6 separate regions of the Mus musculus genome follow, and all the other regions are reported to be linked to region 3. Evidence: microRNA targets listed by miRTarBase, many of them from high-throughput screens and not tested one by one. Region 3 holds a microRNA gene; each other region holds the end of a gene's coding sequence.

The links. Region 3 holds the annotated microRNA mmu-miR-466i-5p (UGUGUGUGUGUGUGUGUGUG, at 1,586-1,605, opposite strand). A microRNA usually pairs through its seed, bases 2 to 8, with sites in the 3' UTR of a target mRNA and lowers its output. Matches are read on the target gene's strand: a 7mer-m8 pairs with bases 2 to 8, a 7mer-A1 pairs with bases 2 to 7 and ends in A, and an 8mer does both.
Region 1: miRTarBase lists Cox15 as a target of mmu-miR-466i-5p. Seed matches in the 3' UTR shown: 7mer-A1 at 3,094-3,100, 8mer at 3,092-3,099, 8mer at 3,090-3,097, 8mer at 3,088-3,095, 8mer at 3,086-3,093, 8mer at 3,084-3,091 and 6 more.
Region 2: the mRNA of Smpd4 is a reported target of mmu-miR-466i-5p. Seed matches in the 3' UTR shown: 7mer-A1 at 2,613-2,619, 8mer at 2,611-2,618, 8mer at 2,609-2,616, 8mer at 2,607-2,614, 8mer at 2,605-2,612, 8mer at 2,603-2,610 and 1 more.
Region 4: the mRNA of Muc13 is a reported target of mmu-miR-466i-5p. Seed matches in the 3' UTR shown: 8mer at 911-918, 8mer at 909-916, 8mer at 907-914, 8mer at 905-912, 8mer at 903-910, 8mer at 901-908 and 13 more.
Region 5: the mRNA of Znrf3 is a reported target of mmu-miR-466i-5p. Seed matches in the 3' UTR shown: 7mer-A1 at 428-434, 8mer at 429-436, 8mer at 431-438, 8mer at 433-440, 8mer at 435-442, 8mer at 437-444 and 17 more.
Region 6: miRTarBase lists Proser3 as a target of mmu-miR-466i-5p. Seed matches in the 3' UTR shown: 7mer-m8 at 4,322-4,328, 8mer at 4,287-4,294, 8mer at 4,275-4,282, 8mer at 4,273-4,280, 8mer at 4,271-4,278, 8mer at 4,269-4,276 and 14 more.

Annotation. Positions count from the first base shown.
Region 1 is chr19:43,732,215-43,737,287 of GRCm38, forward strand. Cox15 (cytochrome c oxidase assembly protein 15) reads right to left here. Exons shown (of 9, transcript NM_144874.4): 9 at 1,040-4,638. The coding sequence ends at 4,507. Entpd7 (ectonucleoside triphosphate diphosphohydrolase 7) reads left to right here. Exons shown (of 13, transcript NM_053103.5): 13 at 1-1,639. Among named protein-coding and RNA genes, the nearest start is that of Cox15, 18 kb to the right of the region's middle.
Region 2 is chr16:17,641,875-17,646,947 of GRCm38, reverse strand. It overlaps Smpd4 (sphingomyelin phosphodiesterase 4), which reads right to left. Exons shown (of 19, transcript NM_001164610.1): 18 at 4,651-4,779; 19 at 2,118-4,474. The coding sequence ends at 4,145. Ccdc74a (coiled-coil domain containing 74A) reads right to left here and starts at 478. Exons shown (of 8, transcript NM_001166164.1): 1 at 165-478. The coding sequence starts at 423.
Region 3 is chr3:85,463,914-85,468,986 of GRCm38, reverse strand. Mir466k (microRNA 466k) reads right to left here and starts at 1,610; the gene lies at 1,489-1,610. The region is part of intron 1 of Gm31419 (a long non-coding RNA gene); the gene reads left to right.
Region 4 is chr16:33,815,576-33,820,648 of GRCm38, reverse strand. It overlaps Muc13 (mucin 13, epithelial transmembrane), which reads right to left. Exons shown (of 12, transcript NM_001382834.1): 11 at 4,780-4,975; 12 at 720-1,774. The coding sequence ends at 4,780. Among named protein-coding and RNA genes, the nearest start is that of Itgb5, 12 kb to the left of the region's middle.
Region 5 is chr11:5,275,014-5,280,074 of GRCm38, reverse strand. Znrf3 (zinc and ring finger 3) reads left to right here. Exons shown (of 9, transcript NM_001080924.2): 9 at 314-3,746. The coding sequence ends at 351. It also overlaps the pseudogene Gm30172. Among named protein-coding and RNA genes, the nearest start is that of Kremen1, 16 kb to the right of the region's middle.
Region 6 is chr7:30,534,922-30,539,994 of GRCm38, forward strand. Proser3 (proline and serine rich 3) reads right to left here. Exons shown (of 12, transcript NM_001382459.1): 10 at 4,998-5,073; 11 at 4,828-4,909; 12 at 4,213-4,661. The coding sequence ends at 4,520. It overlaps Arhgap33 (Rho GTPase activating protein 33), which reads right to left and starts at 139. Exons shown (of 22, transcript NM_178252.3): 1 at 5-139.

The sequences.
Region 1 (5,073 bases), not on the chromosome of region 3:
ATTCTAATTTTTATGTCCTGTGAGTGAGCCTCTGCTTTTTTTTTTTAATGTTGCTATAAAATGCTCTTACCAGCCATTTGCTTCCTCAGGGAACATTTAGCTTCATCTTGGTTTCTATATAGCTGTCTTGGTGTGTTGAGAGATCTAGTCAGAAGTCCCTGGGCAGGTTAACAGTGGCCATGTTCATGGGCTCCAATTGAGACTGGAGGAGGGAGGTGGTAATGGTCTGGTTGTAAAGCTCTCATTACTGATCTTCCTCTTTGTCCTGATGCTACTAGAAGCTTCCATCTGTCAAGCACTTATTTGTATCCCTCTTAATGTTGTGTTCTTTACTATATATCATTTAATCATTACGGCAGCCTTTCGGATTGATACCCCTACATTCTTTTTATAGTTTGGAAAAAAAAAATCTCAGGATACCTATCTTTATCATTTCTCAATATAAATATATTTCTTAATTTATTTTAATTAGTCTTTGAGTTTCTGTTTGGTGCATTGTATCCTGTTTATTGCTTTCGTATTATGGGGTCCAGACTTCCCTTCCTTACAGTAAGGCTTCCCGGAGTTCCATAGGTTAAGAACTCTGTTATATGGAGCTGAGGACATTGCTCTCAACTCATCCCTGAGGGTAGACTTCAAATGGGATCTCATTAGCCAAGTTTTCGCTGCATCTGTTTTAGTATTTAAAATACTTTTGGTTTTATGTTTAAGCCATTAGCTTAACTTTGCACAATTTTTTTCTTACCCACAACATTCCAATAATTACAATCTGAATGAAGGTACAAATGCATAATAGAGATATCTACCTCATTATGGAATAGGTGGCGATTCTTGGGAAGTTTCTAGACTGGGATTTGTATGTGACTTCATTTTAGCTGGACTAGGAATTAAGTAGGAACAGCATTGGCTGTTTCAGAGTCTCTTAAATCGGTCTCTTAGTTTATGTTTTACCCTCCGTCTTTGCTGTGGGGAAGGTAGACTTCTGCCAAACTCGTGAAGATTTTGCTGGCATTATAAAAATTAGTATGTTCAAAAATGAGGACTAAGAACCAAGTTTTGGCACCTTTGACTAACAATACAGAATAACAAATATTTTTGTAAACCATGATTGCAAAACAATGATTGAAATCAAATACTTTTAGGTAATGGTCTGTATGGTGGGTGGCTCTGTCCTTGACCTTCACCCTCCTCCTAACTTGGATGTGATCGAACTGGAAAAGCTGTTGTACCCTGCGTGGGTTCCTGTCCATTCCAGGCTTTCTGTTTTGGTGGGAGGCTTGTTAAGGTTCTATTTTAAGCCAGCTTTGTCTTGTTTTATATCCCCATCGGCTGTCTTTGAAGGGTTTCATATTTCCCCTTGGCCTAGTAGTTCATTATTTTTGTTTGTTAATACTATCATTAGAAGGACAGAGGAGAACCACACACCAGCAGACCATTTTCATTTCTGGAAATCGGAGCAATAAAAAGACTTTTTTTATATTGTAAAATGGAATTATTGCTCATGCTATAAGGGCTTCCAGTTTTTCAAATATGAACCAGGCCATTGCTTCCATGGCATGAAAACTTGAGTTGAAAATGTTCTGAGTCATAGGCTGTTTAACCATGCCTGCATGTCAGACAAGCTTGAAGATGTGTCTATTCCTGAGCCTCTCCTTAAAGCAGGACAATTACTACCAGACCCCTGACTCCCACCCCCACCCCCAGGCTGCTAGTCCGTTTACTGTAACCAAACACTTGAGATCGTTTATACAGAGAACGGGTTGTTCTGGCTCACAGCTGTAGATGGTCAACTCAGTAGTCAAGTGTCCCTCTGCTCTGAGCCCGCAGTGAAGTGTACGTTGCAGCAGGCATGTGACGCAGAGTGGATGCTTAGCTCATGACCAGGATGCAAGAAAGGATGGAGTTGGGAGTCTCACTCATCCTCCAATGATGTGAAGACCTTCTAGGAAGCTTGGCCACGAGGGTCCCACCATTCCCAACGATGCCACCATGAGGACCAAGCCTTTAACAGATGGCCCTTGGAGGACATTCTCAATCTGAGCTACCGCACAGTTTGAAGGGGGTCCTGGTGAGTCCAGCCTGATTTCGGCTCTGCCCCTTTACTCAAGCCCGCCTCTGCCAGCAGGGATCCCGGGCCCTCCAACCGGTCAGGTTTCTGTTCAAGTTCTCCTTCCACGCTGTCCCACACTGTCCGTTTAGTTGAAGCTGGAGTATACACTACATCTCCTCCAGGATTTCTACCTTTAGCACGGTCTCTGCAGTGGCTACGGCTCCTTCCACTGTGACCCATGACCTTAAGGACAAAGGCTTTGGGACCGCCCTGCTTCCGGTGGCTGAGGCGGCTCTTTTTACATGCTTTACGTTAAGAATTTTGTCAGCCAGGCGGTGGAAAAACGAATTTTTGTGGAATTCTTAAATTTCATGGAATAGTTCTTAATATTCTGATAGATGTGGAGCTCTAGAAAATGTGCAGCGTCTTATGTGGCTCTGTGTGGCATATGCCCACATAGAACCCCCCATTCACCCCAAGACCAGGAGGGCTGCAGGTAAACTGCTATTCTAAACTCCTGATTATCAGAGCTGGTCTTTGCAACCAACTTCACTTCAGGCAGTCTCACTGACCCTGCCGCAGGAAACCAGATCTCAGTGCAGGTTAAAGACGCAAACCTGAGCCAGTGAGACAGCTCAGCGGTACAAAGCAATCGCCACACAAAGACAGAAGGAGAGAACCAACTCGCAGGAGTTGTCCCCTTTTCTCTGCATGCACGTGCATGTACAATGCATATCCCCTGTCATGTACATGCACACACAATAATAAGTAAATTCTTAGAAAAATTAAATGATGTCATAAGAGTTAATGGCCTAATCAATCCCAAACAAAAATCCTGGGTTAGCTGACTGAAAATACATGTTTTAATTACCTTTATTTATAAATTAAAAACAATTGACAGAATTGTGGACAGACTGTTGAAAACATTAAAAGAAATTATTTAATCCTTTAAGTGTGCAATGGATTTTTCTGAAATAGACATTTGGGGCATAAATCAATAATTGTATTAGGGTGTATTTAGGGTGTGTGTGTGTGTGTGTGTGTGTGTGTATGTATGTGTATATATATATATATATATATATATATACCATAAAGCAGTTAAACAGCTAAATATTGGATCTGTTCCGAACATGCTTAACTGTAGTACAAACAAACAAACAAACAAAAACCTGCAGCAAAATATCTGAGACTTGAGCTGACTCCAGTTGCCATGTGCTTGGGGTGACTATAAACCGGTTCCGAGTGGTCTCTGGCTGGACCCTCCAGCCCTGTGCTGATTGCTTCTAACTGAAGAGTGCGGATTTGGAGTTGGGAAGCAGAGGGTGTGCAAGCTGCCCTGGTCCCCTTCTTGGAAGGCTCCTGTCTAGCGGAGTTTCTACCCTGCTGACACAGGCCCAACAGGTTAAATGAGGCACGGTAGGTGCGGTAGCGATTCGGAGGGAATGGGAACAAGCTGGCAGAACTTCAACCCAGCCCAGTCCTGTTCAGAGGCCTTGTGATCGCTTAGGTCTAGGATGAGTCTTGTTCTGAGGTTGAGGGAACCTCTTTTGTGCAATAACACAAGCCCAGCAGGGCCTGGGACTTGAGGAGTGAAACACATGTGCGTTTGTTTTTGCTAAGACTAGCTAAGAACAGTATCCTTTAGGATACACCGAGACTCACAGAATAATTATTAGAGTTAAAAAAAAAAACCTGATCATCTTGTTCAGAAACTGCAAATGTGCAACCTCAGGTCAGACATGTTAAGCCTCCATATATTTTTTAAAACTTGAAATTGTCAACATTTAATTTTAATAATATACACTCCAGGGCTGGAGAGATGGCTTAGCTGTTAAAAGTGCCTGCTGCTCTTCCAGAGGACCCGTGTTTGGTTACTAGCACCCGTATCAGGCATATTAAAATCACCTTTAAGTCCAGCTCCAGGGACCCAGCACCTTCCCTGGCCTCCATGGGCACCCGTACACACATGGCATATATTAACACAAACACACATATGCATAAAAGAATATTCACTTCACAAACCTAGCTAGTTAGCTGCTTATCAAAACCAGAAAATATGACAATTTTAGACCTTGGTAACAAACTAACATGCAGTCACCAGCCAACTGGTCGAGTAGCTCCACAGGGGCACGTGTTCCTGAATCTGTCACTGTCACCAGAAGCCTGACTAGTGGGCAGGACATAGAAACCAAGATCTAAGAAGTCAGCCCGCCTCTTATGAAGCAGCAAATGGCAGATCCTTGTTTATGTAGCAGAGTTTTAAAGGAAACCTCTGGTATAAGCACACCTTAGTAATGTTCGTGGTCCAGTGCCCATCTCAGAACAGTTCTGAATGACTTGACCAATTTGGAAACCATGTGGCATGTCAATACCACCGTCTTAGAAAAGGCTAAGTTCTTGTGTTTGGTGATGAGTTTCCAAGGCAGTTCCAGTCCTAGGAAATGATCCTCTGAGAATTATTTAGGGACTCTTCGGAGTTCATTCATGAGCCAAAGGGCACCACTGAGCAGAGCCAAGGAGCCTGACTGGTGTGTGGCAGCCAGCGGAGTGGGGACGTACATAAGCAGAGTGCTAATGCCCAGGGCCACCTGTGGTAGAAGAAAGAAGAAAAGAAGTCATCTTGAAAGTGACTGCACACACCGCCACGGTGTCTCTCAGACATTACAAATGCATGTACCCCATGTCAGAAGCAAGCATCCATAAAATAAAGAAATCCAGGACGCAGTCAGTCATGGTGCAAGCAATCCTATTGCCTCAGTCTCCAGAGTGCTGGGATCATGAGCATGGGCTACCACACCCAGCTCCTGCTTCCTGTCCCCACAGGTCATCACTGCTACCATCCTATATGCCTCACTTTTCATGTCTGTGGTCATGGAGAGACACAGTTTTCTGTTTTTGTTGTTTGTTTAAGGCAAAGTCTCACTGTGTAACCCTGGCTGGCCTAGAACTCACTATATAGACCAGGCTAGTCTTAAACTCACCTGCCTCTCCCTCCCAAGTGCTGGGATACAGAGGTAAATATA
Region 2 (5,073 bases), not on the chromosome of region 3:
AGGGTCAGCGTTCATTTGGGCTGGTGGGCACAGGAGGACTGAGCCTATCGGCAGGCCCTACCGAAGAGAAGCCTCCCGCATCCTTCCCCGCACCCGGAGACTGTTAAGAGTTGATGGCCGTGACCTTCAGGTTGTAAATGCTGGGCCAGCACCCAGAGGCTCACCCTTATTCTCCCGCTTCAGGTGCTCGATCTCCTCGTGGAGTTTGACTAGCGTCTCCGAGTGCTGCTGCTGTAGGAACTGCAGGCTCTTTTCCAGGTCCAGGATCCGCTTCTGTGCTTCGCTGAACCCGAGCGGAGGCGGCTGCGTCCCCGCGTGCTGCAGGCCGGCGGGAGGGCGCGGGCGTAGGCGGGCCGCGCCCCGGGAGCCTGGGGCCGCGGAGCTGAGGGGCCGAGCCCCGGCCGCCAGCCCGGCCCCGCTCATGAAGGCGTCGCCGCCGCTCAGTACTGGCTGCTGGAGCCTGGCACTCGGTCGCCTTGGGAACCGGCGCGCCGGAGAGGGCGGGGCGCGCCGCGGGGCGGGGCCTGCGGCCGCGTTCCGCAAAAACCAAGGCGCCAGACTCTTGAACTGGTCCGGAACAGTAGTTCTTATGAGTGCTGTGTGCGGTGCGTGTGCCTGTGGAGACCAGCACTCGACGTCCGGTCTCATTCCCCACCTCATAGATTTTGAGAAGAGGTCTGTCTCGTCTTGTGACTAGCTGGGCTGGCCCGTGAACCCCAGGATCTTCCCATTTCCCCGGCTTCCAGCGCTTAAGATCCCGGGTGTGCGCCTTCCCTCCCCACTTCTCATGTGGGTGCTAGGGACCCGAATTTAGACCCGAATTTCTCCTGCTTGGGCAGAAACCACTATACCTTCTGAGCCATCACCCTAGCCCCGCTTGTACTTTTGAACCAGGGTCTCACTCTGTAGTGCAAACTAGCTTGGAATTCATTGTGTAAAACCGGGATTATAGATGTATGCCAAAGCACTGGCTTTTTTGTTTTTGTTTTTCGAGACAGGGTTTCTCTGTATAGCCCTGGCTGTCCTGGAACTCACTTTGTAGACCAGGTTGGCCTCGAACTCAGAAATCCGCCTGCCTCTGCCTCCCCAGTGCTGGGATTAAAGGCGTGCGCCACCACCGCCCGTCGCACTGGCTTTTAAAGTGGGTCTTAGTCTTTCATTTTAATAGCTCACATTTTTGGATACATAGTAATAGTTTCACAAATCTTCCAACACTCACTGAATCTTTGTGTATAAATAGAGCTGTCTGAACCAACACAAGAGAACCGGCCAGCCCACTTCTTTAATTCCAGCAAATGGGAGACAGAGGCAGGTGGATCTTCCAGAGTTCCGAAGTCTGCCATAGTGAGTTCCCGGAACAGTCAGAGCTACACAGTGAGAACCTGTCTTCAAGAAAACAAAAGTCCAGTGCTTGCCTTTACCTAGAGAACCCAGCCAGCAGGATCAAAAACAAGAAAGTCCTGGCTTTCTAGACTTTAGTTTTTTTTTTTTTTTCATTTATGCGTACCCGTATGAGTATATTCTGTGGGTGTGCATGTGTGAGCATTGAGCCCCGGAGCTGGAATTACAGGCAGCCTTGGGTGTCTGCTGGAAACCAAACTCAGGTTTTCTGGAAGAGCAGGAAGCTCTCTTTCTTAACTGCTGGCTCATCTCTTATCCACGTGAAAACTAGGCCACTTACTTTTTATGACATGGTAGATTTGTTTGTTTGAGACATAGTTTAGCTACATAGGCCAGGCTGACTTCAAACTCAGAGATCTGCCTCTGCCTCCTTTCTGAATCCTAAGATTAATGCCTGGTTTGGAAACTTAATTTCTAAGAGAAGGCTATGCAAAAGTCACCTCCCAATGGGTCAGTGTTTGACACTTGTCTACCATGTCCATGTCCCAGAGGTCCATCCTTTGCACAGCAAAAAGCCCGATCTACATAGAGTTCCAGGTCAGCAGAGCTACATAGTGAAATCCTGTCTTCAAAACAAACACACACAAATAATAAAAAGATCATTTCAAACTGATCCTTGAAGCTCATACCTATAATCCTAGCCTAGGATACAAAGTTTCATTACAGACTACACAGTGAGATCTTATCCTAAAAATAAACCAAAACAGGGAGATGGCTTAGTTGAGCATCCTATTTTATTTTTTGTTGCTGCGATAAACACCGTGATCAAAAGAAAAGCAAAGTGGGCATCAGAGGGTTTATTTTAGCTTATAGGTTAGAGTCTATCATGGACAGATGCCATGAAGGAACTCAAGGCAAGGCAGAAGCCTGAAGCAGAAACCAAGAGACTGCTTGGGGCTTTCTCCCCAGCTTACTTTCAGCTACCTTTCTTATACAGCCCAGACCTACCTGCCTAGGGATGGTACCACCCGAAGATAGCTACATCAATCAAGAAAAGGTCCCTTTCCCAGGTGAATCAAGTTGACAACTGAACGCTGACAACTGGTGACACCTGCTTTGAGGCCTAACCTAGTTCCATTCCTCAAACCTCTGACCTATGTCCATACATGGCACGCATGCATGCACTGCATCCCCCACACTCCAATAAGTCAGTCTAAAACATTAAACTCTGGGGGCACTTGAAGGAGTAAGACATGACCTGTGTGTGTGTGTGTGTGTAACTGTCAAGAGAAAAAAAATTTAAAAAAATATTCATCTCATAAATAAATACAGGCTAGGTAAAGAGTTGGCACAAGCCTTTGATTCCAACACTTGGTAAGTGTACGTGTATCTCTGAGTTCAAGGCCAGCCTGGGCTACACAAGAGTAACTATCTCTATCCCCCACACAAAAGATAAATATTGATAGGGTTGTTGGTAAGGGCTAGTCATTCAGCTCTGACCAGGGGAATTGGAAACAGTGGGACACTCAAAAGGCAACTTCCCTTCCCACCACAAGGAGGTTGTACTCCTGGGAAGATGCTGGCCTGGAGCTGGCTAGTATAGGTCAGCCCCATCTGCCCATGACTCTAAGATTCTGGAGGCTGAAGAGATGGCTCAGTAGTTGATTAAGAGCACTACAGAAGCCTGGAGTTTGGTCTCCAGCACCCACCCACTCCCTCTTCTTGGCCTCCTTAAATGCATACATATGATGAACAGACACAAGCAACATTCACTCACATAAAATAAAAATGACACTGTTTAACAAAAAGGAAGTTTCTGGAAGCCAATGTGGTATTTGTTCTGGATGACAGCCAGTTCTGAGGTGTTAAGCAGGGAAATCAGTTCTCAGGGCACCACAGGGCCTGCCCCCACCTCAGGGTTAGTCTGCCTTGTCTTGTTTCTGCAGAAGTTGAATCCAACATGCCCTAGGCATGAAAGGGGACTTTCAGTCAGAAAGAACTCCATCACGAGGTAAGGAGGTACCGTGTCCAGGAGCTTGCTCCACAGTTCCCAAATGCCCAGGGACCCTTGGCAGGTAAACAGGCTAAAGATTCAGCCCAGACAATCTCCGAAGCAAGAATGGTTTATTCGGATCCTTGTTCAGTTATGTTTTGAGCTGACTTTTGGTCATGGGTCCCATGATGTATTCTGAAGTTACATCGAAATACAAAGCCCAGTGATAACTTTGAAAAAAAACAGGTTGGTATTTTTTTTTCTTTAAAAACAGCTACACACCCACAACAAAAGGGCTGGTTTAAGAACACCTTGGAGATGGTGGTGTTCACCTGCAGGGTGAACTTGAGCCCTTTGGTGTCTTAGCTTTGATGTGAAGGTGTTTTTTTCATACAGGTGTTGTTACAAATGTGACGCTCCCTTAAATTCCTTAGTTTTACAGGCAAAACCAATGCTTTTTTGCTTTGTGTCCACAGAGGCTGGCCAGACCAAGCTCCAACCCCAAGCTCTGTCTCTTAGAACCCTGCTTCTCCCCTGGAGTGGATATTGAGCTGCTTGTGTGCCCTTGGACTGAAGGTGAGGAGCCATGGCCAGCACTGATTGTCTTACACAATGGCTTATGAACCTTCTGACACTGACCCTTCTGTGTCAGGCCTGCCTGGATCACTCTCCCTTCCAACTCTTTGTTCTTTTGAATAACTCCACCACTGCAGGGAAACTACTCCCAAGAACACTGAAGATGACCTGCCCCTCTATTCCTGGCTTCTAAGCAACCTGCCACAGTCTGCTCAGGAGAGGATGGCCAGCAGCTCAGAGCTGGTGCAGCTTCCCCCGTTCAGTGAGCAGTGTCATAGCTATGGCATAGAGGACGTATCCTAGGACCAGGAGCAAGGAGCAGGACAGGGGCCCAATGCAGAACAGAGAAGCCACAAAGAAGGCCATCAGGAGCAGGAGCAGTGTCCGGTAACTGCCCAGGAAACGGAGGCTGAGCCTGGGGCCCCGTGCAGGATTGGTGACCTGCCTCCGCCCTACAGGGCTCAGCAGATGTCTGTTGCTCAAGGCAGGCTCAGTGAGGTGGTAGCGACAGAAGCTGCCAAGGAAGTCATTCCGGGAGCACAGAGCTGCCATCTGGCCTGCAAACTAGAGAACAAACAAGGACTCAGCAGTTGGAGACACAGAGCACCCTCCCTTCCAGGATGCCTCTGGGACCAAGTGATTCTCACGCAGGGCCGTGAAGGGCAGGATGCTACCTAGGGCAGGAGCACTCTCTGGAAGCTATGTCTAGGGCATCCCAGCTGTCCCTGCTGCTCACTTACTCTACGGTTGATGGCAGAGGACAGCCGGAAGAGTGCACGGACCAGACTGGTGATTTCGTAGCTCCGGATGGGCTGCAGCTCTAAGTCTCCCTGGTACTCAATCTCGAACCTTCGCAGACCATTAATGATCTAGAAACCCGTTCATTTGTGTATGAATTTTTAATATAAGTGCAAGATGTAAAGCATTAATGCAAGCAAAATGTTTCCGTGAACACATTTCAACAGTTCAACTTTATAACAATTATAAATAAACCTGTTAAAATTTTCTGGACAATGCCAGCATTTGGATTTTTTTTTAAATAGGTAAATTTCTTATTGACGGCAAAAAAAAACAAAATAAAATAAAATAAAAAAATCTAGAAACCCAAGCAGTGGAAATAATTCTAAAAAGAATGTATCTTTGCAGATGACTTGAGAAACGAC
Region 3 (5,073 bases):
AATAATAATAATAATAATAGCCTGAAAATACCCTGGGTGTGACCAGTTAGTTGAGAGCTGGCAGTGTGTGTGTGCCCTGTCAGCTGCAGGGTGATAGCTAGGATTTAATTGCCCTTCCTAAGATGCAGCTCAGTAGAGTGAGGTGAACTAGAGTCTTTCTATATACATGTCTCTGAGGACAAGACTCACAACAGCTTCCACGTTACCCAGGACCCAGTTGGACCGTGGACACTCAGGCTTCACCACAGACCTCCTGGCCTTATTTCCTGGGGGTTGGTGTGCACAATCAGCTCCAGGAGAGCCAATCAAGTCCTTGTGGATGTCATGTCTCAGTGTCCTCTTTATTAGGATGTCACAGGTAAATTCCTGTGGCTGGTGCCAAGACAAACTGCCTAGAACATTTTATTTGCTGGCTTGCTCTGATTAAAGTGGAGAACGCACTGCACTTTCTCGTTTGTGGTCACCTGCTAAATCTTTACCTTATTTCTGGTGTTGCCTAACACAGCGTCTCATACACAGCAGAAGAGAAAGAGTCACTAAATGAATGAATGAATCTATTTCCTATTTCCTTCGAAATTTGAGCCTCTGCACAGGCTGAGATGTACTGGCGTGCTTTGTGTTGTTGTTGGAGGTGGAATCTGGGGTCTTGTATATGCTGGGCAAGTGTTTCATCATTGAGCTATAACCCAAGAGCTAAAAAACTTGTTCCGGTGGCATTAGGGTAGCAGACAATTTTTGGGGAAATGAAGTTTGTTTCCAGAAGGCCTAGGGCTGTGGAATCCTGGGTATAATGGATGCTTAGAAGAGAAGAGATGACTTCAGGTCTCAAGGACTGAGGACATGTCCCTAGTTTTCAGTGACTGGCTTTTATACCACCAGAAGCTCTGCACACTCTGTACTGACCCTTTTCCTGTGAACTTCCCTGTGTAACATTTGTTCCTCTGTTTTATCAGCTGAATGATGGAACCTCACAGCCAAGAACTTTGAGAGGTCAAAAGGACCTGGCTGCTTCCTGCAGGTGGCAATGGCTTCCTTTCTTCTTCAGCCTTTAGACAGTTTGGATTTCAAATTATTCCATCACTTTCTAGAACATTCCAGATCCAAGCTCTCCTCTCCTATCACAGATGTATTCTGCAGCGCTGGGCCTCTCTACTGCATGTGGTTGTGGGAGAAGAAAGCCGCTGAGGTAGTTGAAGCCATGTTTAGCTTTTAGTTCTGTGAGGCAAGAGGGCCAGGACAGAGCATTTCCCCTTCCCTGTCAAGATATCAGCACCTGCTTGGGAAGCCAGAAGATGGAGGAGTAAAAAAGCTCCTGTTCCTCGGGGGCTTGCAGGTAAGGTCACGGCCAGTGCAGAGGTGCCAGTCTTCTCCTGCCCTATAAGGCTGCTGCTACCTGTGAAAGATCAGTGCAGTTGCTTACCTGTCACCTAGGCCAGATGGAGACACAGCCATCGGAGTCACAATTAGTAACACCTACTCACCATACACACACATGCACATGCACACATATACACATATATTCACATACTCACACACATGCACATGTACAAACATATACACACACATACTCACATGTACATGTACACACACACACACACACACACATATATATGTATATACACACCTGCACACACACACACACACACACACACACACACACACATATCAATAGAGAACATGCATATACACGTACATGCACTCATGCACATGCACACCCATGTGTATATGCACACACATACATACACATATACACATATGCATGCACACACACACATACACTTATTTCTATAGGAGGGTGTACATGAATGTATATCACATGCACACATGTATATGTGTGTGAATATAGGTGAATATACAGCCCCTCCCATCCTGGAAACTAGCACATTCATATAAGACACCATAATACAGCTTTTCAATATTTTCTTTTCTGTAAGAAAGTAGGGAATTGACTGAAGTCCAGGGCTGTTGCAGTTCAGAAGTTCGGCTCTTTATCTAAATGTGGCCCTGAGAGTTAGGCAGCAGATGGAGGTAACATGGCAGCTTCCAGGGCTTGGAGTCAATGACTTCAATGAACAAAAACAGACACTTTCTTTTACTCGCTCCATTGAGAACATGACCACACATTCCTGGCTCACAGGAGACCCCTAAATCTGGAGGCCACTCCACGATGTCTCCTCATCCTTAAAGTAGAAAGTGGGACTGCGGAATCTGTCATGTGCTCCATCTTGGGCCACTGATGGGGTCTGTGTGAGATGAGATCTGATTTGCCTCGGTTATTCTGGGATGCACATTGGCTACTCTGCCCACTTCATCCATTCTGAGCTACTACCAATCTCCATCCTTACAGGCAGCAGCCAATTTGAAACGTACAGTTGTATACTCCCACTTCAGGTTACTTTTGCCAACACATATTACCTTATGTTTATTTGAGTTAAGTTTCGTCTGCCTGCAGGCTGCACAATCCCCCAAAGTGTTCCGATGCACCTGGAATTTCTTGCAAATCTTCTCTGTTTTTATTAGCCACAACAGTTTGGAACTAGTTGAAACCTCTGGGAAGAGATTAGACAACAATTACTGCCCGTTGCTCATGTAATGTCTGGCCAGGTACATGAGCCAGCAGGCCTTGCTTGGCGGGGTGGGGGTGGGTGGGCATGATAGCATTTCTATCCACTGGTCTGTCTTTTGAACTCTCAACTCTGGACAGGTACCAGGGAGCCAGCCTATCCTTGGGGTGTATGTCTACACAGGGGCATAGAGCTGTCTTATTTACAGGTTTTAGAAGCTACTGCTCTGGAGCCAAGGGAATGTGTGTTATCAAGGCCCACTCTGTCTGGTCCCCTTGGATATTACAGAAAGAAGGGACAGAAGAAGAGAGCCGAGGGAGGGGAAGGAAGCTTGCAGCACTGCTCGCTATGCTGGGTTCTGTAAAATCAGGTGATTAGACATGGGAGGAGGAAGGACAGAAGTATCACCCTTCGGACTCCTCTGGAGAGGCTGAGACATCACCATGGTCACATCCTGGAATCTGGGAATGAGGACTGGTTGAGGCTGGAAGCCACTGTCCTCAAGACCAGGTAGGACATCAAGGACCAGTTCCACGAGCCAGGATGGAGGAGGTGAAGCGGGCTGCTGCTTGCGGAAAGCAGCTTCTGTGAGCAAGGCTGGTGTGTGGGCAGCAGCTTAGGCTGAACGGATCCCAGAGCGTTCCAGCGAGCTAATCTTGTCAGCCTCAAGCTGTTCCACAGACAGTGGGTGTGAATCCAAAGCCATCTTAGATGCTCAGCTCTCAAATGTTTCTTTTAAGAAAATAAAAAAAGAGAGATTGAAGGTACACCAGACCCAAATGGGCCAGTTACCTGGGAAGGTTAGACTTGTGAGCTGTGAAGTGCAAGTATGCAGATGTTAGAGACGATGGGATGAGATGTGTGTATGGGGGTGGATGTCTCTTCTCTGTCAGCTATATCCCTGGATGAGAGTGTCTGTCTCCTTCTGCCTCAAGGATACTGTATATATCTGCTCCACGTGTAGAAGCAGAAGTCAGTGGTATCCAGTCTCCAGCCCTGGACTCGTCTTCTCTCCTGTTGTCTCTGCTTTCATAGTCAGTTGACTGTGCCTGCTTAAACTGTGCACATATAGAAACTAAATCTTGAGGAAGGAGGAACCCTAGGAGAGTAATATAATCCTGATCCTGACTTCTAATTAATCTCTATGGGGAGAAAATATCTTATGTCTGTATGCATGTGGCAACTGTCAGTAATAAATTTGATGACCTATAACTTGGCAGGAAATAGGAGGTAGGACATCTGTGAGGTAGAAAGGATTCTGGGATAGTGCCAGGTGGGAGATACACTGGGGAAGATGTGACAAGACAGATACCTGGTACCTGAGCACAGGTAACCAGCTATGTGGCAAAATGTAGTTGAGCATAGGTGGGTTATTTTAAGTTCTGACCTAGTTAGAGAAGAGCCTAGCTGTATGGCCAAGGTATTGTAAACATATTTTGAGTCTGTGTCTTATTTCTGGGAGCATGGGAATGGGAGGAAGAACAACCTACCTTCTGTATCCCTACTCTACCATTAGTCTCCTGTCCCTCTGTCCTTCATCTTTCCATGGCTGCAGGGAAGACCTGATGCTCAAGATGAGAAATTAAAACCACTGTCCCGGGGGGTGGGGGGTGCGGGGTGTTACATGGACTGTAGTCTGGGTCAACCAGAGTCACACTTGAAAAGGGGAATCAGATCACACTGATTCACAGCAACACCTATGACCCCTTTAAATAATGAGTGGCGATTTCATGTTACTAGCATGCTGTGACAGAGCATCACAGATCACACGGCTTAAACATTAGGTATTTACTCATAATCTTGAAGGCTCAAAGTAACAGCACAAGTGTTGGCAGGGCTGCTGTCTCCCGAGGACTATGAGGAGGAATCTTTGAGGCCTCTCTTTTTGGCTTGTAGGTACCTGTCTTCTGAAGTCTTCACATGGGCTGCACATGTCTGGGTCCACATTTCTTCTTAATATAAGATTAGGGACTGCCCTAATGGCTCTATGCTGGTGTGTGTGTGTGTAATACGAGCAACCAACTCCTGGTTGATTCTTCCATTGTCAAGCTCCACAGAGAATTCAGAGTGCTCTTGGGTACAGCAACAGCAAACCTCTTCCTCCATCCTTCCCAGGTGCTTTGCAATTCTTTCTTGTGTCTTTACTACTATTGCTGTGTGCATGCATGTTTATGTGTGTGAGTGTAGGTGCCTATACACACAGTACATGTGTGGAGGTCAGAGGACAACCTCCACTCTCCATCTTCACTTTCTGCCTTGTCTAAGGTTTTCTTATTGTTTGCCAGAGTAGCTGCCTGTGAGCCTCTGGGATTCTCCTGTCTCTATTGCCTATCTTTGCAGAGGAACTCTGGGATTACAGATGTGTACTGATGTGTTAAACTTTATGTGGGTTCTGGGGAGTCAAACTCCAGACCCTACACTTGCAGGGCAGTTGTTTTAAATATTGAGCCATTTTCTCAGCCCTGCTATTATTTTTTTCATACGGGGTCTTATATTGTAGCCAAGGTTA
Region 4 (5,073 bases), not on the chromosome of region 3:
GGGATCCCTCGGCCTGGACACTTGTCATGGAGTTGTGTTTGAGGGATAGAAGCCAACATGGTCTACGACATGTTAAAATGTTGTCTTGGGTGATGGAAAATCCCTGGTGAAGGTAGCAAATGTCGGGCAGGTCACTCCAGGGTGTCAAGTCACATTTTCTGTTTAAAATGAGACTCAAGGGGGAGCCAGGGAGATGGCTCAGCAGTGAAGAGTACTTACTGCTCCTGCAGTTCGGCAGTAGGCAATATGTACTGAGCACCTGAGCTCTCAGCATCCGAATCAGAATCAGGCAGCTCACATCTGCCTTGACTCCAGCTCTCGGGGGTCTGATGCCTCTGACCCTCAAAGCCAACTACATCTGCACATATAAAATAAAAAAAAAAATAAAACATCTACACCTACTTTAAAATTAAAAGAAAAAATCTTTAAACATGAAATGAGACTTGTGCTAGGAACTAGGACTGGCTTGTTTTCGAGGGTGCTTGCCTGGCATGCATGAAGCCCTGATATACCCAGTATCATCCCTACCAACCACATACACCAGGCATGGTGGCACACACCTGTAAACCCCACACTAGCGATGCAGAGACAGCTCTGGTGAGGCAGAGGTAGGAAGAACAGAAATTTCAGGTCATCTCCTGCTGTGTAAAATGTTCGAAGCCAGCCTGGGATATGTGAGACTCACTACTGCGAGCCTCCCAACACAAGAAAGGACACTATCCACCAAATATATTTTATTAAAGCATTGCCTTCCACAATGAACAATTAAGAACAAATAATAACAAAAATACCTTTCGAGAGGACCAGACGTCAGACAGACACGAGGGCACAATTAACATTTAAAAAGACAGATGATGGATGTATTTATATTTATCGTGTGTGTGTGTGTGTGTGTGTGTGTGTGTGTGTGTGTGTGTGGCCACTGCTAAGCCTCCATCATGGAGCAGAGGTTCAGTGAAGCATCATTGAGTGGACACCAGGCTCCTCTGTCAGAGTTCCAGATAGAAGGCCTGTGCTGTCACAGGGGCTTCACACTGACTGCTGCTTTTGTGGCTTTCCCAGGATCTATGTCTTGGGGATGGCAGCACCGGAGAGTACCCATTTGCTGCCTGAGGAGGGACATCATCAAGGGAGAAGACGCCACCTGCTACCTTCTCCCTCCCTCAGCCTTCCGGCATAGCTTCCTTGGCCTCTCTCTACCTCCTATGCTCCTGTTTCTCCTCCCTGCTTTCCTACCAACTAACATCTCAAAGACTTGAATGTCCCCACAGAGGACAGAGCCAGTCCAAGCCTTCTTATTGTCATTTGCCTGGGTCCCCAAAGTCCTCCTGAGAAAGCTGGGACATGCTTCCATCTCTTGCCTGTCCTCTTGGGGTGAGGCCCTATCACAAGCAGCTAGCTGTTCAAGAGTGGCCAGAGTCCAGAGCTCAGGAGTGGCACTGCTCAGGGATGAGTTATGAGGGTGCTCCCTCTAAGATTGGAAACGCTAAGAGTTGACCCACCAGGAAAGAAAAGCCCCACACCAATTGCCATAGCATTCTGTACTAACTGGAGAAAATCAACTCTTACAAAGGCTCATAGGGTCTATGCGCATTTAATTTGATAGGTGTGTCTTCGGCAAGCTTCGGTCTTCACACAGGTCCACACCCAGAGGGGTTGGCAAACCACGCAGAGGAATGCTGGAGGTCAAACTTTGTCTCTGCCCATTTCTCCTTGTCCTTAAGACCGTAGCTTGGGTGGGCTGGGCTAGGGAGGGTTCCAAATTCTTATCATTCTATACAGGAGGAGAGAGAGAGGCAAGGCTTAGAAAAGATTTCTAGACAGCAACAGGAGAAAACTGATATTTGTCAATTATTTTAATATATCTTTTGTCTTCAGCTTTTTCCCTATGCTCCCTTGTGTCTTTGGGGTGTCTGTCTGTCTGTCTGGTTTGAGACAGGATCTTTATAGCCTAACCTGATGCTGTGTTTTGAATGAAGATGGCTCCCATAGATTTACATGATTGAATAATTGGTCCTCTTTGGTGGGACTGTTTGGGAAGGATTGGGGGTGTGGCTCTGATGGAGGAGGCATGTCACTGGAGGCGGCTTTGGGGTTTCAAAAGCCCACACCATTCCCAGTTAACTCCCTCTGCCTCCAACTTTCAGATAAGGATGTGAGCTCTCAGCTACTGCTCCAGTGTCCAGCTTGCCTGACTGCTGCCATTCTCCCCACCATGATGGCCATGCACTTACCCCCGACAATGTAAGTCTCACTAAACTCTTTCTTCTACAGGTAGTAGTCTTGGTCATGGTGTCTTACCACAGAGGAACTAAGACACCAGGCTTCAGATGTGTGGTCCTCTTGCTTCAGCCTCCCCAGATGCTGCCTGGGTTTTGCTTCTGTTGGTATTTCCAATCTTTTGTGTTTTGCTTTGTTTTTATGTGCCAGCTTCTCAATATGTAGCTTCAGTCGGGCTAGCCTGGAAGTCACATGTAGCCCAGACTAGCCCGAAGCTTACATAGAGATCTACCTGTCTCTGTTTCCTGAGTGCTAGTATTAAAGGCATATGCCATTATGTCCAGCCTGTTCTCTTGTTTTGTTTTTTGTTCTTTTCAATATTCAAATTTCTTTTTTTTTAAGATTTATTTATTTATTATATGTAAGTACACTGTAGCTATCTTCAGACACTCCAGAAGAGGGCGTCAGATCTTGTTACAGATGGTTGTGAGCCACCATGTGGTTGCTGGGATTTGAACTTCAGACCTTCGGAAGAGCAGTCGGGTGCTCTTACCCACTGAGCCATCTCACCAGCCCAATATTCAAATTTCTAAAGCTATATCTCAAGACCCCTTTCTTCCTCTTTTATATTTGATTCTTTCATTGGTGTGTGTGTATGTGGTGTATGTGTGTATGTGTTCATGTATGTGTATGTGTACGTGCTTGTATGCAATATATGTGTGAAGGCCAAGCGTTTATGGAGTGCTGAGATCTGAACTCAGGTCCCCTTGCTTGCTCAACAGGATCTTCACTGACTGAGCCATCTTTTCAGTTCCCTTTACATTTTTTTTTCTTTTGAACAAATTGTCTCTGTTTTCTCTTCCCTTCCCACCTCGTCCCTGGCTCCTTTCTCCTCTTCCTTTTCTGTACCTCAGCCCTTTGTCAGTTGTCCCTTAGAGACACTTCTCACCGGCCCCAAATCCTCCCCTGGGAAACAAAATGTTTCCAGTCAAACTTGCTTTTCTCTTTTGAAAGATTGAAATAGACTGCTTTGTAGGACTGGTCTAAGGCACTATCATCTATCTATCTATCTATCTATCTATCTATCTATCTATCTATCTATCTACACACACATATAATGGGTAGACACATATACACATATAATGTATATGTGTGTATATATACAAATGTGTACTATATATATATATACATACATATATGTGTGTGTGTATATATATATAAATTTATTATATGTGTATGGGTGTTTTGCCTGCATATATGTCTGTGTACTATGTGTGTGCCTGTTGCCTGTGAAGGTCAGAAAAGGGCAGTGGATCCCATGAGGCTGGATTTATAGATGGTTGTGAGCTGCCATGTGGATGCTGGGGATCAAACCCAGTCCTCTGGAAGAGCAGCTGGTACTTTTAACTGCTGAGCCATCTCTCCAGCCCTGGCATAAATTTAGAAATAAACTGTTGCCTTGAGATGTCGGGGAAGAGGAGAGCTGTGTTTGTGCTTTTGTGCATTTGACATACAGGTTCCCACAGCTCCACGCTGCCCTCACTGTCATTTCCACACCTGACTTAGACCCCAGTTCTTTATTTACACACTGGTGCTGCCATCCCAAGCATGTAGGTCAGAGTCACGAAAGTGGATATTTAGTTTAATTTTATTTTTGTTTTATTTTTGGTATTATAAACTGTAGGGCCTCACAGTGTTACTGCGCCTCTCTTTATTCATAATATACCTCCCTTAATTACTATTTTAGTAATGTAAAGTGTATTTTGTTCTTAATTGTTCTCCTCATCTATTATCTCCCCCCACCATCAAATCATTTTCTTTCCTTTTGAGACAGCATTTCACTGAGTCCTCCCGGCTGGCTGTGAATTCCTTCTGTAGCTCAGGAGGGCCCTGAACTTGCTACCTTCTTGTATCTTGAGTAGCTCTCACGATTGGTCCTGGTTAGAAGTGGATAATTATTTGTCTATCTATTACATTTATATACCTGGGAGGGAGAATACACATGCCACACTGTGCACGTGGAAGCCCGAGAACAGTTTGTGGGAGCCTGTTCTCTCCCTCCTGCATGTGGGTCCTGGGACTGAGCTCAGCTCATCAGACTCAAAAGGCAAGCACCTTTCCCAGCTGAGTGACCTCAGTAGCCAGAAAGTGGGTAAGTTAGAGGCACTCAAGGATGCTAAGACTGAGCTAAAAAAATAAAAAATAAAAGAGGAAATGGAAGCCCCGAGACATTCAGAGACAGGGCTGATGTCATGTAGACGGCCATTAGTCCTAGCTAGGGACCAAGTGGTGACTGAGGCTGTAGCTGGGACCTCCTTGTTTGCTAATATTTTTTAAAAGATTTGTTTGCTTCTTTTATGTGTATGAGTGTTTTGCTTGCATTTATGTATGCATGCCGTGTGCTTGCCTGGCACCTGTATCATCATGTGAGTGCTGGCAACCAACCCTCAGGTCCTCGGTAAGAGTGACACGTGCTCTTAACCGCTGAGCCACCTCTCCAGCCATGCCTCCGCTCTCTACCTGGGCATTACATCCTGCCAAGCCAGAGGCCGCACTCACCTAGTAGTCAGGGCGAGGCATGCTTCGCTGGTTTGCGTAGGGATTAGGGGTCTGACTCGGGACCCCTGTTCTGACTTTGGGGAAGATGCTGTTGTCCGCTCCTAAGTTGGAGAAGCCGGTCTGCCTCAGTCGTAGGTTATGGAAGTCATCCTCAATCAGCCTCTGCTCTTCTCCATCCTTCTTTTTGTTCTTTGACCTAAAATCAGAAAATTTAATGAGGGCTCGGGGAGCGCAACAAAGTTTCTTAAGGTATGAGTTTTGGTTTTGTTGTTGTTGTTGTTGTTTTCTGAGACA
Region 5 (5,061 bases), not on the chromosome of region 3:
GAACTAATTCACTTAACTTCAGTTCTACCTATGCTTCTGTGATATCTTAGGAGATTCAGTATAGGCATCAAGGGAGACCTGCTCACCCTCTGCCCCAACAGCTGTTCTCAGTGTAGACTTGAGCTCCTCAGGAAAGGAGCCATTGCTGCCCCCTTTATCACACAGAGCCAAATCACCATTGTGAACTATCACATCCAAGGGCCCTATGGATGGGCTAGGGATGCTCAAGGACCTTACCTGATACGTACTACCCAAAGCCTGCTGTGCTGGCTCTCTCCAGACCCTTGATGACTGTTCTCCCTCTTTCTCCCAGGACCAGGATCTGGCCCAGGCATCGGTACGGGAGCTTGAGCTCAAAAGGAACTCTTATGTAGAAATCGTGAACTGTACGGAGACTTCAAAGTCTGGCTTCCTTCAAAACTACTATACACACACACACACACACACACACACACACACACACACACACACACACACATATATATATTTTAGCTTTGACAAACACAAAAGTGGTAATAAAGAGAGCCCTCCTCAACCCAAAATGTGAGCCACCTGTGGCATCCCTTCCTCTTTAACAAACCAACAGACAAAAATCTCTTGAGTCCTTTGCCTCTTTAATAATGTGTTGTTCTGTTTTGTAATGTGTGCTTGGGTTTCTGAGGTGTGTGGGATTGAGTTCTCTGCTTTTTTTCTAAAATATTATATGTAAATGTAAAAAGTTATTTAAATATATATTTTAAAGAACCCTAACTACCAACTTCTGTTGAAAAAAAAAATCACTGCTGCATTAAATGAACCACATCATGTGTCAATACTGTTGTCTCCCTGGAGGGACCTCAGGCCTTTGAAAAGCTCAGGGTTACACCTGCCTTATTGAAAATGAACCAGAAACTTGAAGTAAAAAGCTCCAAGGAACAATACAAAGCTGCCTCATCCTTTTTCCCTTTTTTGAGGCAAATCTGAACTTCTGGGCTTCTGGGAAGCCACACCTCTCCTGCCCACACCTGTAGGCAGCAATGGAACAGGAGGGAAGTGGGGGCAGTGTCAAGCTATTACTGCCTAGGCCAACTTTATTGGAGACAGTTCTGCCCATTCTCTTCTGTTCCTTTGGTAGGTCTTTATCCCAGCAGAGGCTGTGGCTGTGACCAGCCCTGTTACTAGGGTCTCTCCTGCACTCTGACCACCAGTCAAGGGAAGAGACGCTCTCACCCTGTGGCCTTGGAGTCTTTTGTAAAATCATTTTGGGCTTCATGCCATCAATTGCAGGGGTAATTTAAATGGGGTGTGCAGGGTGGACACCCAGGAGGAATGTTGATTTATGGCCTTGGTGTCCTGTGGGACTAGAGGAACAAGCTCTCCTCTCAGTAGCAGTGCACCGCTCCTTGAAAGGCATGCTGAGGCACACTTGTGCCCATGGGTCTAGGGCAGCCACACCCCTCAGCTGTTGCCCCCTTAGGTTGCCTTCTTGGGGGACATATGCTTGAACCACAAGAGTGTACTAAGCTCCAATTGGACCAGTCCCCCATCCCCAGAAACAGGCCTCTGCCTGGTGGCTGCAGCGGTTCACCTTGCCAGCAGATGTCTGCTAGCCTGTCTGCCTGATGCACTATTATGTACTGATTCTCCACGAGACAGACTATCAGATAGTTCAGACCCAAAGGGTAGGCTTTTGTATATTTTTTCCAGCCTCTTTTTTTTTAAGGGGAAGAGTTTTTTAAACCCAAACCACTTTTGGTTGTTTTTGTTATTGTTTTTAAGATGTTTTGTTTATTTTTAAAAGGGAGAGAGAATTATTTAAAATCACTTCAGGGATTGTAATCCTTTTTATTCAAAATAGTCCTTGTTCTTAAAAGTATTTTCTTTTCCTTAGAGGAAACTAATCGGCTTGGCCCTGTGTTTGCTAACTCTTCTGGTCACTTTTAGTCATTCATTTAGCAGATGTCTTTTTCCATCAGGAAGAGTTTGGCCGAGTGGGTCTGAAAACTCGGTTACAGAATGGGGACCACCTGGGTTGCCAGAGACAGAAATGACCCTTCTTCCCAGTCAGGCTCCCAGGAAGTCATCCCAGGGTCCAGATTGCACATTTGAGATGATCAGAATACTTTGTTCTTTAAAACCTCGTCCTAGGATGAGGGCATTTGCTTATTTCTATCCAGAATCTAACAAAAGAAGTCCCACGTCAGATGGCCCAGTTATTTGCCCTTTAGGAAGTGGCCATAGTGAAATTTGTTCTTCTGCCGGACTCTGGAGGTCGGTCCCTTGAGGCTATGCCCAGTGCACCTGTTGCTGAGGGTGTGAGAAGGGCCTAAACTGTTGACATGTAATCGGGGCTGCCTTTCTTTCTGGGGCCAGGAGTAGCAGCTGCTAAGAACAGCAGCTTTCCTTACTGTGCAAGGGGGGGGGTGGAGGCACAGCTTTTAACATGAACTGCAAAGCACAGCTTCTCATTGTTGAGATGTTTGTTGTTTCTGGTTTTCCTTTTTTTTTTTTTTTTTTTTTTTTTTTTTTGTGTGTGTGTGTCTGTATGTGCATATTTCTCCATTGGCTGAAACAAACCCCAGAAAGATTTTGCCTTTGTCCTGCCTGGCTAGAAAACCATTTCTCAGTACTCATAGATGAGTAGAGAATTTGAATGCCACTAGGCAGAGTTAAAAAAACAAGTTCAACTCTCCTTTGAAAAAATGCTACTAGTGGGTGACAGGCACTTGTAATTGTTGTAGTTTTGGACTAGTAGAAACAAAAGATTTAGAGACAATTATCATCTTTGTGTTGCCACATCAGACCAGAATAAAACCTATCTTATGCACCATTTAAATCAGAAGAAATAGTGTCTATGAAGTTCTGAGAGCCACAGTGCTCTCTTCTGTGCCCTCTTCTGGGGAGGGGAAGTGGAAAGGGAGTGTCAGTAGTGTGTGGTGATTGTATAGCCATGGACAAGGAGCACCCCACTGTCCACTGGGAGCCTGTGTGTGGAATAGCAAGTGTGGGCTTGATACCAGCCCTGGGTGTAAGACAGCCATGCCAACCCAAAATCTAGAACCAGATGAAAATGGAAGTTAAGTCATTGTGTACCTTGAGGTGCCTCTGTGGTCGTAGCTCCAGAAGCTGACCATCCATCCCCTCTCCCCCAGGCCCAGACCGCTGTATCCGTGTCCCTCTTTAGTCCCGTGGTTCAGGCCTTTCCCTATGTGCTTCTGCTCTCAAAGTCCACACAGGACTGATGCTTTTAAAATGTGGTCTGTAAAAGAATTTGAAAGTATCATCTTTTAAACTGACCTGCATTTTTCTATTCCTTACATAAACTTTTTGTATCGTGTTGGTCTAATGACACTATTTTAATTTTTTTTTTATTTCTCCCATAGCACTTAATATTTTGTAAAGATTTTTTTGTGATAAAATGGTCTAAGGGCTCTTTTTCCACATTACCATTTTAAAAACTTTTAAAAGCTAGAAAACAACTTATGTATATTCTGTATATGTATAGCAGCACATTTCATTTATGGAAATATGTTCTCAGAATATTTATTTACTAATATATTTATCTTAAGCCATGTCTTATGTTGAGAGTGTGACATTGTTGAAATAATCATTGAAAATGACTAACAAGGCCCTGTAAATACATGATAATTGCACACAGATTTTACATATTTGCAGACCAAAAATGATTTAAAGCAAGTTGTAGTCGTCTATGATTTTGTAACAAATTGTACAAATGACTGTAAAAAAAAATACAATTTTATCAAGTATGTGTCACATGTGGTCATTGCTGTGGCTCCTAACGTCTAGAGCCTGGGCCAGTGCTCTGATTTCCATCGTATCCAGAGATGCCTGTGACCTTCTGCTCCTATTAACAGATTCCAAGTCATCAGAGTATTGGCTGGAACCTGTGGGTTATATCCTTGAGTAACAGTGTGTGGCAGGACCCTGAAGCAGGAAGATCACATCTTTCAGACCATTCTGGACTACAGAGTGCATCCAAAGCTAGCCCGTGCAATGTAATGAAACCCTGTCTCAAAAAAGTAAAAGATGTGCTGGAGCCTGGGCACCTGCCAGCAGTCAAGGCTGTAGGTTCGATCCCCCCACACCTCCCTTCCCCTGCCCTGTGCCATCCACAGAAAACCAGTTGGGCATGGTGGCTTTGCTTAGGAGGCAAAAGCAGGTGGATCCCTGGGTTCAAGTTCAATTTAGTCTACATGGTGAGTTCTAGGACAGCCAGCTCTGTGTAGAGAGCCTGTCTCCTGACCCCCACTCTACCCCCATTTTTAAAAAAAGGACTGAAACTTTGTCTCTTTTCCCTGGAAGGGTAGCCACTAGTTTGTAAAACGTTCTGAGATTAGGTGAAAAGTGCAGCTTATTTTTCAGACATACTGCAGAGGAGAGTCCAACCCTATGAGTTCCTATTGTTTCTTATCCTAGCTTGGGCCACTTCTCGGGTGACAGCAGCCGTACTCCCTCCCAGCTTCCCACCCCTCCATGCACTCCTGGTGGCAGCTTCCAGAGGAAAGCTTCCCAGAGCCTTTGTTTAATGGCTTTGCCTAGCTGTACCTCTTGGCGCTTCCAGAAGGATCTCAGAGCATGGGCTCTGCCACAGTGTGGTACAGAGCCCGGTAACCCTCGGTGAGGATGCCATGGATGTTTGGCATGATCTCCAGCTGCTGTTCCTCTTGGGTTTCAGGAAGCAGTGTCCAGCCCTTGCAGGCTATGAGCCCACTGTCCCTGGACAACACTTGGGTAGTGGCTGCATGTTTGGCATATCTGTCCTTAAGATCTTGGCTGACTTGTTAACTTTTTCTCCTTTGAACTTTCTTTACTCGGGCCAAGAAGAAAGCAGAGATGTCAAAGTTAAAACTTGAGAAGGGAACTCAGTATAATTAGCAGGGATTTGCGTCTGAGTCTTCACTATAACAACAAGCACCATTTGCCGAGTATAGTCTCCTTACTGAGTACCTTTACATATGTCACTGAGTATTGGTCTGCTCAAGGCCACAAAGCTTAGGGACTTCATAGCTACAGCTGACATCTATTGCATACTAAGTGCGCTCCTTCTTATTCTCTGCCATC
Region 6 (5,073 bases), not on the chromosome of region 3:
TCACCACCATGGTCGCGGTAGCCTCCTCAGACCCCGGCGGCTTTCGAGCCCTCGTTCGCAGTCCTCGCCACCGCCGCCTCCGCCGCCATGGTGACACAAAGGGGAGGGCGTGAGGCGCGCGCGGGCGGTCGCAGGCTCCTCCCCTAACGGCTGCCGGGGGGGTCTCTGGCGCGCGCCCCATGAGGGGCGGGCCAGCGGGCACGCGGAGGCCCTTCTCATTGGCTCCAGTTTTGGCCTGAGGGCTACGCCCCGCCCACAAGGCGGCTGCTTATTGGCTTTGAGTGCTGCTCTACTTCCCGCCCCCATCCCCGCCCCGTCTCTCCAGTCCCACCCCCCGAAGTTTGACAGCGCCACGCCCATGGATGGTTGGCATTGGCTGTCAGGGCCCTCCTGAGATAAAACCCTGTATTCTTTATGCTCCGCTGCCGCCACTTCTCTCCTTAAGCAGCCTGCCCTTTCCTCCCGCGGTCGCTCCTCGGACGTGCTTCATTGGGTTCGCCTACGACTATCCCCCACAAGCAGCCTTTTCGAAATGCGGGTCCTCCAGTCCCCACGCTGTCAGTCCTGATCCTGACCCCGCCCACAAGCTTTTTGATCTCGCACACCCCGCTGTGTCCCCACCCTAGGCTCTGTGCGACTTGGCCTCCCCCTATTCACTGGACATCTTTCCTTGTTTCCCTATATTCGCTTATTTGAGGCTAGCCTTTGACATCTTTTTCTAGGAAAAGCTTCTGTATGGAATGCTATGACATTCATGCCTCTCAGAAAGCCAGGTGCAGTCTTTTTTCTTTTTTTAAACGATAGAGAAGTGCCTAGAAAGCATTGCAGCCACACCCTTTCCGGAAGGATGCTTTCACTGATCTGGACCTGAGCAGGCCTCTCGTTTCGGTAGCACGCTCCCGGTCCAGGCTTTTAAAGACTTTGATTATTTAATTCGGGGATATACCAATAATCAAAAAAAAAAAAAATACAGCCTTACCCATATGGAAGCTCAAAGGCTAGTATGAACTAGGTGATTTCGGTTTGTAATCTCAGCACTGGAAAAGTGGGTGCAGGAGAATCATGAATTTGAGGCCAGCTTGAGCTGCATAGTGAAAATCTGTCTCAAACAAACCAAATTAGGGACTGGAGAGATGGCTCAGCAGTTAGCACTGACTACTCTTCCAGAGTCCTCAGATTTCTACTCCCTGTTCCAAGCACCCACATGACTGTTCACCAGCTACAGCTCCAAGATGTCCAGAAGATGCTCTCTGTGGGCACTAGGCACACATGGAACCCCCAACATATACACAGGCAAAATACCTGTATGCATTAAATAAAAAAATTTAAAACCTCCAAATCAAAGGCTGATGGGGGAAGATAATGAACAAAATAAATATAAATATGTATCATCCGAGAGAAAAGCTAGTTGGGATGGCGAAATATGGAAAGTGCTGGGTGGGGGGAGGGAATAAGTGTAATGAGTGATGATGCTACTAAGTTTTGGGGGTGGTTTGTTACCCAGCCACAGTTAAGATGGCCTCGGTCAAGTAGGTAATCTCAGCTTAAGTGTGACTTCCTCGGGCAGCCTTCTAGTGCCCCCTCTTAACTTGATCAGGATGTTATTGTGAATATCTTCTATTGTTCCTTGTGTCTAAACAGCTACCTCCTTATTGATTCAATCAAGTGTGTGGTTTGTTCAAAAGGATGAAAACCCACATTTATCTTGTTTCTGACATAGAGAATTGCATGTCAGAAATCTATCCCATTTCCCTTCATAAATCCCATACATATATCAAAACAACATTGATCTCAGATTAAAGAATCCCAGAAACCCTGTCTTAAAAAACCAAACCAAACACACACACACACACACACAAAAACCCTCAACCTAACCCTCATCATATATAGTTGCCATCATTTTATTTATGAAAAGTTCTAAGATAGGGAAAGTTGACACCCACACATCCACCAGCTAGCTCTTATCATTAAAACATTTTACTATATTCATTTTGTCTTACATCTACTTATTGCTTTACTCACCCATCCAACTCATCTTTGGGAATGTTTCAAAACAGATTAGGCTGGGTGGGTGTGGTGGCCCACATCTGTAATCCCAGCACTTGAGGATGTGAAGGTAGGAGACTCAGTCCAAAGCCAGGCTTAGGTTACATAGTGAGTTGGAGCCTAGATCTTAAATGATCCTATTTCAAAAGACAAACCATTGCATCCATACTATCCTGGAATTTTCCTCACTTCCTTTTTTTTTTTTAATGGTTTTTCGAGACAGGGTTTCTCTGTGTAGCCCTGGCTGTCCTGGAACTCACTCTGTAGACTAGGCTGGCCTTGAACTCAGAAATCCGCCTGTCTCTGCCTCCCAAGTGCTGGGATTAAAGGCGTGTGCCACTACCACCCAGCTTCTCATTTCCTTTTGTAAAAGTCAAAATTTGTACCTAATATTTCTTTTTTTTGGGGGGGGGGATTCGAGACAGGGTTTCTCTGTATAGCCCTGGCTATCCCGGAATTCACTTTGTAGACCAGGCTGGTCTCGAACTCAGATATCCGCCTGCCTCTGCCTCCCGAGTGCTGGGATTAAAGGCATGCACCACCATGCCCGGCACTGTACCTAATATTTCTATATTTCTATATTTCTATATTTTTTTTTCTGAGACAGAGTTTCACTATGCATCCTTGGCTGGCCTGGATTTCTCTACATAGACCAGGTCACAGAGATTAAAGGTGTGTGTGACCATGCCTTGCTCACATGTATCTCCTTAGCTAGAATTCACTTTTTCCCTTGAGGGAAACCACCGCAGGGATTTTGATGAGGATGGCCTTCATAGGCTCAGACGTTTGGATACTTGGTCTCTAGTTGGGAGACCACTGTTTGGCCTTGTTGGAGGAGGTGTGTCACTGCAGTTAGCTTTGAGGTTTCACAAGACTCCCATTCCCAGTGTCTCTGTCTCTGCCTCCTGGTTGAGTCTCAAGATGTGAGCTCTCGGTGCCACTCCAGTGCCATGTGCCCTGCCCTGACGGTCATTGACTCTCTGAAACTCTTAAGCCTCAAATAAACACTTCCTTTTTACATTCCCTTGGTCACACTGTCTTATAACAGCAATTTAAAAGTAACTAAACCACCACAGAGAACGAAACAAATCTCACTGAGCTCAGTAGATGCATGCTTGTGTGTCCCATCCCTAATATAATGACTTTTTTTTTTCCCGACACAGGGACTCTCTGTGAGAGTGACCTCAGAGTCGAGATCCTCTGTTCTCAGACTCCTAGGATTACAGGTGTGTGCCACTGTGTCTAGTAATCAGATTTTATAGCAGACTCTGAAAAGCATCCGAGTCACAGAAAGTAGAAGAAAAAGAACAGAACAGAACCCACTTTCCTGACAGAAGCTGCAGGCCTTCAGTTGCATTTAATTTGTTGAAAGGCTCAGTTTCAAAGAGAAGCAATAGGATGTCCCCCTGGGTGGCAAGTGCATCAAAGAGTGAGCAGATGTGTTTATAGTAATGACAAGCTTTCAGCTGTATAGATAGGAGGTAGCCTAGACTGAGCTGAGGGCAGTGGGAAGGAGTTGGGTTCTGATAGACAGAGTCAGCATCTAGCAGGTGACTGTGTGTGGGAAAGAGAAGAGTCAGGATGACAGAAGATGTTGGTCCTGAGTAGAGAGAACACAGTTGAAGAATGTGAAAGAGGGGGAACAAACGTGGGGAAACACCAGGAATTTGAGCACCTGTGGGAATTGAGGCATCTCTTAGGCCCGTGGATGGAGATGGCGACCAGGGAGGGAAAGATGCTAGCACGGATGGAGATGTACTATTGTCCAACACTGATGTTTCTTAGGACCAGATAACAGGGCCTTTGTCTCCATCCGAGATATAAAAATCCACTTCTGAGTTCCATGAGTCAGGTAGTCAGATGCCCACATTATCTAGAGCCATGTGCTCACCCACAGAGAGAGAGGGAGAGAGACACATTTCCTTATTAGCACAATTAGCCTTTCTACAACAATCCATTTCTTTTTTTTTTTTTTTTTTTGGTTTTTCGAGACAGGGTTTCTCTGTATAGCCCTGGCTGTCCTGGAACTCACTTTGTAGACCAGGCTGACCTCGAACTCAGAAATCCGCCTGCCTCTGCTTCTCGAGTGCTGGGATTAAAGGCGTGCGCCACCATGCCCGGCTCAACAATCCATTTCTTAGAGATGAACAGTAAACTGGAAAAATGTTAATTGGGGACAACTTTATTTTTACTCTGTGTGTGTGTGTGTGTGTGTGTGTGTGTGTGTGTGTGTGTGGTGTTGTGTGTGGTGTAGTGTGTATGTGCCCCACAGCTCGTGTGTGGAAGTCAGAGAATTTCAGAGATTCGTCTTTGCCTTCTACCTGGATTGAGCCCCGTCCATCTCCATGGGCCAGCTGGCCTGTCCGCTACCTCTATGCAGGTTCAGGAGATCCAAACTCGAGCCTCCACACTTGCAAGTTCTTTGCCCACTGAGCTATCTCCTCAGCCCAGGAAAAACCAGAATTTTTCTAATTCAAAGTCGTCTGGACTCAAGGGAGGTTCCTTCCCTCCTCAACCGCATTCTTGAGGACCTGGAAGGTGACCTGGCTAGAGGAGACGAAGATCCCGGGTCTTTAGTGTGGTCCAAGAGGAGAGATAACTGGGCATCCACCTTCCTGGAGAAAAGTGGGGAGAGGTAGAGGCTGAAGCATGCGCTCACAATAAGAACCTGCAACAGCGGGTGAGGGGTTCAGGAAAGGGACTTGGAAGAGACAGGCACCAAATAGGGATGTCACAGGACTCAGGGGTCCAGTATTGTGACTCCTGGTGATGAAGAGTCACCTTTTCTGCTGCCGGAGCTCTGCCCTCTGAGCCCTTAGCAGCTGCAACACAGGATCTTCCTGAAACTCGCTGCCGTCCGAGTCTGGGGAATAAAAGACTGAGCTCCAGAAGGCAGATACAGGGTTTGGGTCCACCATCAAGATACCCAAGGGCCCAGGAATCCCCCTCACCTTCCGCAGCCTGTAGAAGTTTGGTGGCCTGGGATAGCAAGTCCTCGGAAGGGGCGTGGCTTGAGGCAGGGGGGAC